2 linked regions of the Mus musculus genome follow. The main gene of each other region encodes a partner of the protein of the gene in region 2 in a complex. Links are inferred from orthologs where the notes say so. Each region holds a gene or a part of one and is shown on either strand. Other genes may lie near its edges.

What was found.
Region 1: the proteins of Ppargc1b (region 2) and Ppara are in contact, whole or in part, in a crystal structure (PDB 3SP6), measured with the Homo sapiens proteins. The link is inferred for Mus musculus from reciprocal best matches to the Homo sapiens genes PPARGC1B and PPARA. Residues at the interface, in NP_573570.3 of Homo sapiens: Ser154, Leu155, Leu156, Gln157, Leu159, Leu160, Leu161, Thr163; in NP_001001928.1 of Homo sapiens: Val284, Thr285, Thr288, Glu289, Lys292, Phe297, Leu302, Asn303, Gln305, Val306, Leu309, Pro458, Leu459, Glu462, Ile463.

The regions. Positions count from the first base shown.
Region 1 is NC_000081.6:85,734,104-85,738,637, reverse strand, and holds the start of Ppara (peroxisome proliferator-activated receptor alpha), read right to left. Parts: upstream 2,863-4,534; 5' UTR 2,542-2,862; exon of another isoform or gene 2,466-2,541; intron 2,445-2,465; exon of another isoform or gene 2,251-2,444; intron 1,845-2,250; 5' UTR 1,760-1,844; intron 1-1,759. UniProt on the Homo sapiens protein: Ligand-activated transcription factor. Key regulator of lipid metabolism. Activated by the endogenous ligand 1-palmitoyl-2-oleoyl-sn-glycerol-3-phosphocholine (16:0/18:1-GPC). Activated by oleylethanolamide, a naturally occurring lipid that regulates satiety.
Region 2 is NC_000084.6:61,306,131-61,309,930, forward strand, and holds part of Ppargc1b (peroxisome proliferator-activated receptor gamma coactivator 1-beta), read right to left. Parts: intron 3,553-3,800; coding exon 3,516-3,552; intron 2,965-3,515; coding exon 2,903-2,964; intron 1,885-2,902; coding exon 1,077-1,884; intron 1-1,076. UniProt on the Homo sapiens protein: Plays a role of stimulator of transcription factors and nuclear receptors activities. Activates transcriptional activity of estrogen receptor alpha, nuclear respiratory factor 1 (NRF1) and glucocorticoid receptor in the presence of glucocorticoids.

The sequences.
Region 1 (4,534 bases), on a different chromosome or scaffold from region 2:
TCATATGCTTTTGTCTTTCCTGCCTCTGTCTCCCCAGTCCTGGGATTATGAGCATGGGCCCCAGCGCACCTGGTTTATGAGGCGCTGAGGATCAAACCAATAGCCTTGTGCATGCCAGGCAAGCACTCCTCCAACTGAACTAGAGCCCTAGCCTTCAACTAACTTACTTTCTTTCTTTCTTTCTTTCTTTCTTTCTTTCTTTCTTTCTTTCTTTCTTTCTTTCTTCCTTTCTTCCTTTCTTCCTTTCTTCCTTTCTTCCTTTCTTCCTTTCTTCCTTTCTTCCTTTCTTCCTTTCTTCCTTTCTTCCTTTCTTCCTTTCTTCCTTTCTTCCTTTCTTCCTTTCTTCCTTTCTTTCTTTCTTTCTTTCTTTCTTTCTTTCTTTCTTTCTTTCTTTCTTTCTTTCTTCCTTCCTTCCTTCCTTCCTTCCTTCTTTTCTTCCTTTCTTCCTTTCTTTTTTCTCCTTCCTTCCTTCCTTCCTTCCTTCCTTCCTTCCTTCCTTCCTTCCTTCCTTCCTTCCTTCCTTCCTTTCTTGCTTTCTTTCTTCTCCCCCCCCCCCAGACAGGGTTTCTCTGTGTAGCCCTAGCTATTGGGGAACTAACTCACTCTGTAGACCAGGCTGGCCTCCAATTCAGAGATACACCTGCTTCTGCCTCCTGAGTGCTGGGATTAAAGGCGTGTGCCTCCACCATCTGGCTTCAAGTTTCTTATAATTCTAGCATGGAACTCAGTCTCATGAGCAAGTCCATGGCTGTCTTGTTTATGGGTGGCTCAGTAGCCCCCACCCCAGGAAGCTATGCAATAAGCATGAGTTATATACTAACGTATGTCTATATATGCATTGGCTAAATACTATATCTAAACCTAGTGAGTTATTAGACAGGCAGTTGAAGCAAAAATACATTGTTTTTTACATTCACATGGAAATATTTTTCTCAACTTAATAGTTAATAAAACAAAATAGAAACATGCTTTCTCTTCTCTCATTCTCTTCCCACCCTTTACACACATACACATAGCATACACACCTAGACACATACACACATACAAACACACATTGATACATGCACACACATATACACACATAAACTCTGTTTATAGGCTTGACAAACATAAGTTAAAAAGAACTACTTCAGCTTTCAGTACTTGGGAGCCTGAGGTGGGAATATAAAGAATTCAAGGCTAGCTAGCCTCTGCTACATAGCAAGTTCCAGGCTAGCATGGGTTACATCGCAGGCTCCTACCCTCCTGACAAACTATGAGTCTGGAGTGTTTCCATGCATGTTTAAGAGGTTGGAAAGGAGACACTTTGCTTTCCACTCTCAGTTCATGTCCCACTGGCTCTGGATTTTCATATGGTCACCAAGTCATACCCTTCTAGCTGCTTCTTGGGGGCCATCCCTGCCTGGCTAATGATGAAACTAACCGACTACTTCATTGAATTGATATGAAGACAGCCAAGAGACGGTCTTATGAGCCAGTTTATAAGCCAGTCAAGTAACACCATTTCTAACGCAATACCACCTTTTTAAACTACGCCGACGCAGCCTGCCATAAAGAAATGCGGTTCCCATGAAGCAAACGCACTTTCCCAGAACTGAAACATGGACTACCCATTTACCTGGCTTCCTGAGCCCTGAAAAGACATTTACTATTCCACCACAAAATAACCACTATCCAAGCCCTGTTGCTAGTCTGAAGTGCAACCAAAGACAGCGTTTACAATATTCCAGTCTGGAAGCCGTCCATTAATCCTCTTTACCTGTGATGACAACGTCTTGTTCCCGAACTTGACCAGCCACAAACGTCAGTTCACAGGGAAGGCAGGGCCTTGAACTTCAACTTGGCTGTAGAACGTTAAAGAAGGAACCGGTTACAATATGTTCTCTGGATCTCCCCCAACTCTCCACCACCTTGGGAAAGTCACTGTGACCCTGTTGCCTGCAACCACTACAGTGTCCCAGGGTCGCCCAAGAAAGTTCCGTGCTCCTCCCCCAAGGAGCCTTTCTGCTTTCCTTAGAGGAAGGGAGTAGGTTGGGGTTGGGGGCCCGTGAGCACCCCAGTGGCAGAGTGCCCCCAAAGACATTATATACCACCGTAGATTTTCTTTAGTATCTGAACATTCTCTCCTTTAAATTAAAAAAAAAAAAGTTTGGGAAAAGGAGAGGTGCAGTTATTTCAGGCTAGTTGGAGTGGATATTGGGGCAGAGTCACCCTCCGGACTAGCACACGGGCACTCCCGGCTCCCTTTACCCATATCAGGCCAGCCGCGCAGCCACTGCACAGAGGAGACTAAAGCTGGCCCCACACAGGACCCGCTGTGGCACTGGCCTCTGGAGGGCAGAGACATAGGGTAACTTTGGCATCGTCTCTACCCTACTGTTGGGGCCAACATCGCCCCACTACGATCAGGAGCAATGAGGAAACTAGTGTTCAAAGAGGGTCCGCTGCTGTTGACTCAAACCCACCGGCAGCGTTTCTCAGGTCCCCAGCAAAGCCTAGGCTGTGACCCCAGAATCAGTCTGTCAGGGAGCCTCCAGTTACCTCTCCTCTAAGTTCCCCGAGGGTCTCAGGAAACGCCTCCCGGTGAGATACGCCCAAATGCACCACGCCGTGAGAAGGGAGCGCCCCGATGTCCCCGCCCGTGTGCCCTCCCCTCCAGGGGACAACCAGAGGACCCAGCGTCGCTCCAGTTCCAGGACTCCACGAACCCTCCAGCCCCCAAAACAGCTGCGAACACCAATGTTCGGAGCCGGCGCACGGCGCTCCAGGGGACTCGAAGTGGCGGACAGTTCCGCGGGCCCTGAAAACTCGCACGCGTGTGCCCTTCCTAGCGTGTGCCCTCTCCAGTGGCTGTGGGTCTCCAGACCCGCGCCCCTAGTCCGCGCGCATGCGCCACCGAGCCCCTCCCCTCCCTGTCCACCCACCTCACTGTCCCGGGACAGGGGACGCCTGGCTCCCCGCCCTCGCGCGTGCCCTCCAGCCCCTGGGCACCTGAGGCTGCACTCCGCCTGCGGGTCCGCAGGGCCAAGCGCGCCCAGGAGGAGGCGCCAGGAGGGGCGTAAGCGGCTGCCTCCGCCCCCGTCACCCCTGTCGTGGGACCGTAGCGTCCGGGGCCCCGGCCCGGCACCGCCTACGCGCGCCCGTGCCAGCCGCGCCCCCACGACACGCGCCGCCCCTCGGACGTCCCCTGCGGGGTCCCGCGGCGAGGTGACCGCCCCGGAAACTCCGCCCCCTAGGCCCGGGCCCCGGCTCAGGGCGAGACACACCCCCTGGACGGCAGTGTCTGATTGGCTGCTGCGGGGGAGGGCGGGGCCTAAGAGGCCCGGGGCAGCTCTCCTCGATGCCCATTTAGTGCCTCGGGGCCCGGGCATCCGTTGGTAAACTGAGGCGGGTTAGGTGAAGGGACTGCCCAAGGTCACCCGACGGGGGAGAACAGTCGGTGGGAAGGGTGCGCCTTGGCGCGCACTCCCTCCTGCTCCCAGCCCCGCGCACCGGCCAGGACTGAAGTTCAAGGCTGCGGGTCTGGGTTGAGCTTTCCTCCGGGTGCCCTCGTTGAGCTGGTCTAGATCGCACAGCTTGTTCCCCGAGTCCCGGGAGTTCGTGGGGAGGTGGACGGACAGGCGGAATCTGATCTTTAGAGTCCCAGGATGAGAAATGGGGAGAAAGGAAGAGCGAGCTGGGGCACGCGGCAACAGGTGGCCAAGGTGCCAGGGTGGGTGTGGCGGGCGGGGAAGGCAGAGGCTGAAGGGCATCGAGGACGGTCGCAGGGAGGCGCGGCCGCTCTGACCCACCCTCCGCCTCTGCCCCGCCCCGGGCTGTGGCCCCTCTGCATACGCTTCAGGGGTTGAGGGGCTGACTGTGTCCAGCTCAGGCACTGGGGCTCTGCCAACTGACAGCGCAGGCGGGAGGCTGCAACTGGGAGCAGGCTGCGACCCAGAGCAGCCGCTTTGCTTGTGTCGTCCTTGGATCTTCAGTCACGGAATGCACATGCCCCCCGAGGTGCCAACGCCCCAGGACGCCGCTCCTTTGGGAACGAAATGTGTGCTATGCCAGCCCTCCTGTCTGTCCTCACGCTGGGCCTGCCACTATGCTATTTGTGGCGATGAGCGCCCAGGAGAGCCTACTAGGGAAAGGAAACTTTCAGCGCACATCTCCTTACCCTGGGAACTGGAGACCAGACCCTACAGGCACATTCAGGGACGTCTTTTAAACCCACCTTTGCTGATCAGCCTCATACCTGTGGTGAACTCTGCCCCACCTGCCAGACACCCACAGAACATTCCCTACTTGCCTACTGGCAAGCTCGCCTTTTCTTGCACGCAGTGGCCAGGAAATAGCTACTATTTGTATTATGCTTCGAAGCTTGCAAAACTGAGACCCTGGAGATGGTTGAATGGGTAAAGGTGCTTGCTACCAAGCCTGATGACCTGGATTCCAACCTGGGGACTCACACGGTGGAAGGAAAGAACCAACTCACATGCACACAAGCACACACACACACACACACACACACACCAGCTACTCTGCCACATAC
Region 2 (3,800 bases):
CGTTTGATGAGCAGAGGGGCCTTTGCTTTCTTGGGGCCCTTGAAGAGCTAGGAACAGCTAGTAGAGATGTGTGCATGATAACTTGAATTTGTCTAGGGTATCTCTAAGATCTGAATTCTGATCTCAGAATGCTTTGAGAACTTGAGAACTTGCTAGAAATTCGAATTACCCACGCCCACACACTCAGGTGCTCAGCAGACCCCTGAGCCCAGCAGCTTCACAAGCTCCCCAGACAACTCCACATCTCTGCTCAAGGCTAAAGAGTTTCATCTCGTGGCCATTCAGGTAACCTCGCGCTCAGAACTGCGACACCCTCGCCCACCCCTTGCAAATCTTTCTGGAGTCTCTCCAGGACGAAGCTGGTCCCATTACCTGGTGTGACGAGAGAAAGCAGAAGCTGCTCTCCCCCCAAATCTGCCTCCAGGTTCCTGCCTTGCATCCCTGCCCTGTCTTCCCTTGGGGATAGAGTGACCTGAGAGTTGTAAGATGAAGTCACTCCTTTCCTCTGCACGCTGCTTTTTGTTGTGGTATTTTAATCACAGCAATAGAAGAAACCCCTTTCTAGGTCTAGTGCTCACAGATGGGATGCTCAAACTAGCTCCTGATGCACCGCCCTCCCCCAACCCCCGGGCTCTTATAGGGTCTGTTCACAGCAGTAAGCAATTCAGAACCAAGCCCAGGTGTAAAGCCTAGCACTGCTTTTAGTCTGGGTGTTTTCCAGAACACAGATCAAAACCACAGCCCTGGGCTTGACTTTATACATTAACACCATGTTGCTTCTCAAGTATGTAGGTATGCATGTTCGCATAAAAATCTATCCATTGACAAACACAGGAGGAAACAAGGGTCAAGTTCATTAGGCTATAATGTCTCAGGGGGCCAGATTGTGGGGTCCCTGCTGGGCTTCACTTGCTTCAGATTGTCCATGTCTTGGGGAGCCCATCTCATGCCTTCTGACCAAGGCTGGGCTGCAAGCGGAGATGCAACCTAAGCCTCAAAGCAAACTCCTGGGGCTCCTCCCCTCTGGTACCTAATGGCTGCTCAGATATCCCTCTCCCCAGGGCCACCAAGAATACCTGAAGTTCTTCCGGGTGGCTGGTGACCAGGAGCTGCAGGACGAGGAGCCGGAACTGGAGCGGCTTCGGGAGCAGAGCTGCCGACTGGCCTTACTGGGTGGGCTCTGGTAGGGGCAGTGATCAGAGCAGGGAGGGCTGACCCCTGAGTCCTCTCCTTCATCGTCCTCTTCCCCTCCCTCCTCCTCTTCCTCCTCCTCCTCAAGCAGGAAGCTACTCTCGCCACTGCTGCTGCTGCTGTCCTCAAATACGGTGTCATACTCCGGGCTTTTACAGGACGCCAGGTCTTCACCTTCCAGAGCAGTCTCCAGCAGCCCAAAGTGCTTTGTGAGACTGGCACGGATCTCATGGTCTCTTAGCTGCATGCTGTCCTTGTGGGTAGGGTCACAGTTCTGGTTTGCCTCCCTCCTAGGGGCCTTTGTTTCCGTTGGCAGAGGGGCACCCTGCTGGGCCAAGTCTTCAAGGTGGACCCCGATTGGCTCCCAGGACCGCAGCACCTTCCTCTGCAGGGCAGCCTCTGGCCTGAGCACCTGGCAGTAGTCGTGGTCTCCAAAGGAGCAGGAGAAGGGGCGCTTCTGGCCAGCCTGTGAGACTGGTTGGGTTGTGGCATGCTGCAAATGGGACAGGAGCTCGCTTCGCTCTGGGTGCCTCTTGGGCAGCTTGTGGGAAGCTCCTGGGGTGGCTGTGAGCGGAAGAGCCTCGGGGGAGGGAAGGCTGGGAGCTGTGTCTTGGCCTGGGCTGAGCTTGGTGTCTGGCTTGAAGGGGTCCTCCTCCATTGGCTTGTATGGAGGTGTGGTGGGTGGCGTGAGTCCTGCCCAGGCAAGAGGAAAAAAACAGGTGAGGGAAAGGCAGGTCTTCTTGGAGGACATTAAGAGTTCTGTTTGCAAGGACACAGAAGTGGCCGTGGGTCACAAGATCCCTTATAGGTGGGTGGCTTCGAATCACTAACTGGTCTGTACTGCTGCCTAAGCCTGTATGTAGCCCAGGGGTCCTCCTGTTCATAGGAGCTGTCATGAGATGGAAGTCAATGGGCATCCCTTGGGGACTTGGTAATGGCAGCTAATGTGTCTAGGTCAGAGATATCTGTTCCTACTCTACTGACAATCATTTAAAGAGCCCTGCCTGAACAGAGGAAACAGTGCCATTGGGAAAACCAACCATTCGGCGTCTCTGATGCTACTCAACCTGCCTTTGTCTTCTGGTCTTCCCAGCACACCACAGGAACATGAAAAAATACCCACTTCTTTCTCTCCATGCCTTCCAAAGCCTACAGGATGGGTGCCAGGCTCCTCTATGCCTTGGTCCTTTGGGGACCGTTATTCCTTTCTTCCTACGTCTTGCCTTTAGATAGGACCATCGGACCAGTAACCCTGATGCACCCTGTACTCTCATTCTTTTGTGTCTTTACTCATATCAATTCTTCAGTTAAACACATCCTTCTTTGTTTTCCAATGCCTGTTGGTCCTTCAACCCCTCGGCACTGCCCCATCCTGGGCACTCCACCATTTGACCAGGCCTCACTGACCTTCTGCCTTAATGAGCAGACAGGAGCCCACAGCTAACCATTCTCCTGAAGGTTTAGCCTCACCAGACTGTGGTCTTCTCCAGAGCTGTGTCTTTGTTTTCTGACCTCAGTAGCCCCTCAGCTGCAGGTACCAGCAGGTGAAGGGCTGGCCCCCAGGCCCTGACCCCCCTTCCCAGTATGCTCCTGGTGCATCTCAATGCTAGAGTAGTTCAGGGGGGCAGTGGTCAGTTCATGAGGAGATGCACTCCCGCCCAGGTCATGCAAGCTCCCCACAGGCACCCCACCAGCTGAACCCCTAGCTCACCTGCCGTGCCGCAAAGCTCCACCGTCAGGGACTCCTCAAAGCTCTTCTTGCCAAGAGAGTCGCTGGTAGAGGAAGGGAGGACAGAAAGGAAAAAGGCTGGTCAGTAGGAGGGCTTCTACAGGCCCAGACTTTTGAGGGGAGCAAAAGGCACTGTGATAGACCCTGGGTCTGCCATGGAAAGAGAGAATGTGCTGAGGGGCCCCATCCTGGCTGTTAAAGAAATTTAAGTTGCAGTTTCTGGAAGGTTCGGACAAAGTTTGATGTAGATTCCTTGATTTGTAGATTGAACAACTGAAGCCCAGAGAGGGAAGGAACTTTCTTCCAGGACCCCCAGCATCATAGGCTTCTAACCCCCATCTCCAAGAGTACCCTCTAGAGTCCTGGAGATGCCAGCTTATGAAATGGCTTGACTCTCTGTCTTTCTCCTCAGCTCAGAGGCTCCCTTTTAAAACTCAACCCCCTTGGAAGGAGTCTGGATCCCAAGGGCTCAAGATAACAACGAAGGCAGGCCCTGAGGATGGGGGCCAGGCTCAGGGGCTGATAGCCTCCCACCCAAATGCACACATCTAAGACAAAAGCTCATGGTATAGTAGACTGATAATTTTAAATCTACCTTTGTGACAAGGCCAGCATGAGGCACCTGGAGGAGTCTGAAAAGACAAAAAAGAAAATAAGATTCCCCACATACACCATTCTCCCCCTTTGGGGAGCCCTCACATTTCCGGGGGCACCAAGGACAGATGCCCTTTAAGGTGACATATGGCCATCTAAGGGAAGGATCGGGTGCAATTCAAATCCATCTTGCATGGCTGGGGCTCAGCCAGCAGATCTCCTCACTTTGCAGAAATAGCAGATGGGCCAGGCAACCCTTGCTGGCCAAACAGTGCAGCACGGTAGC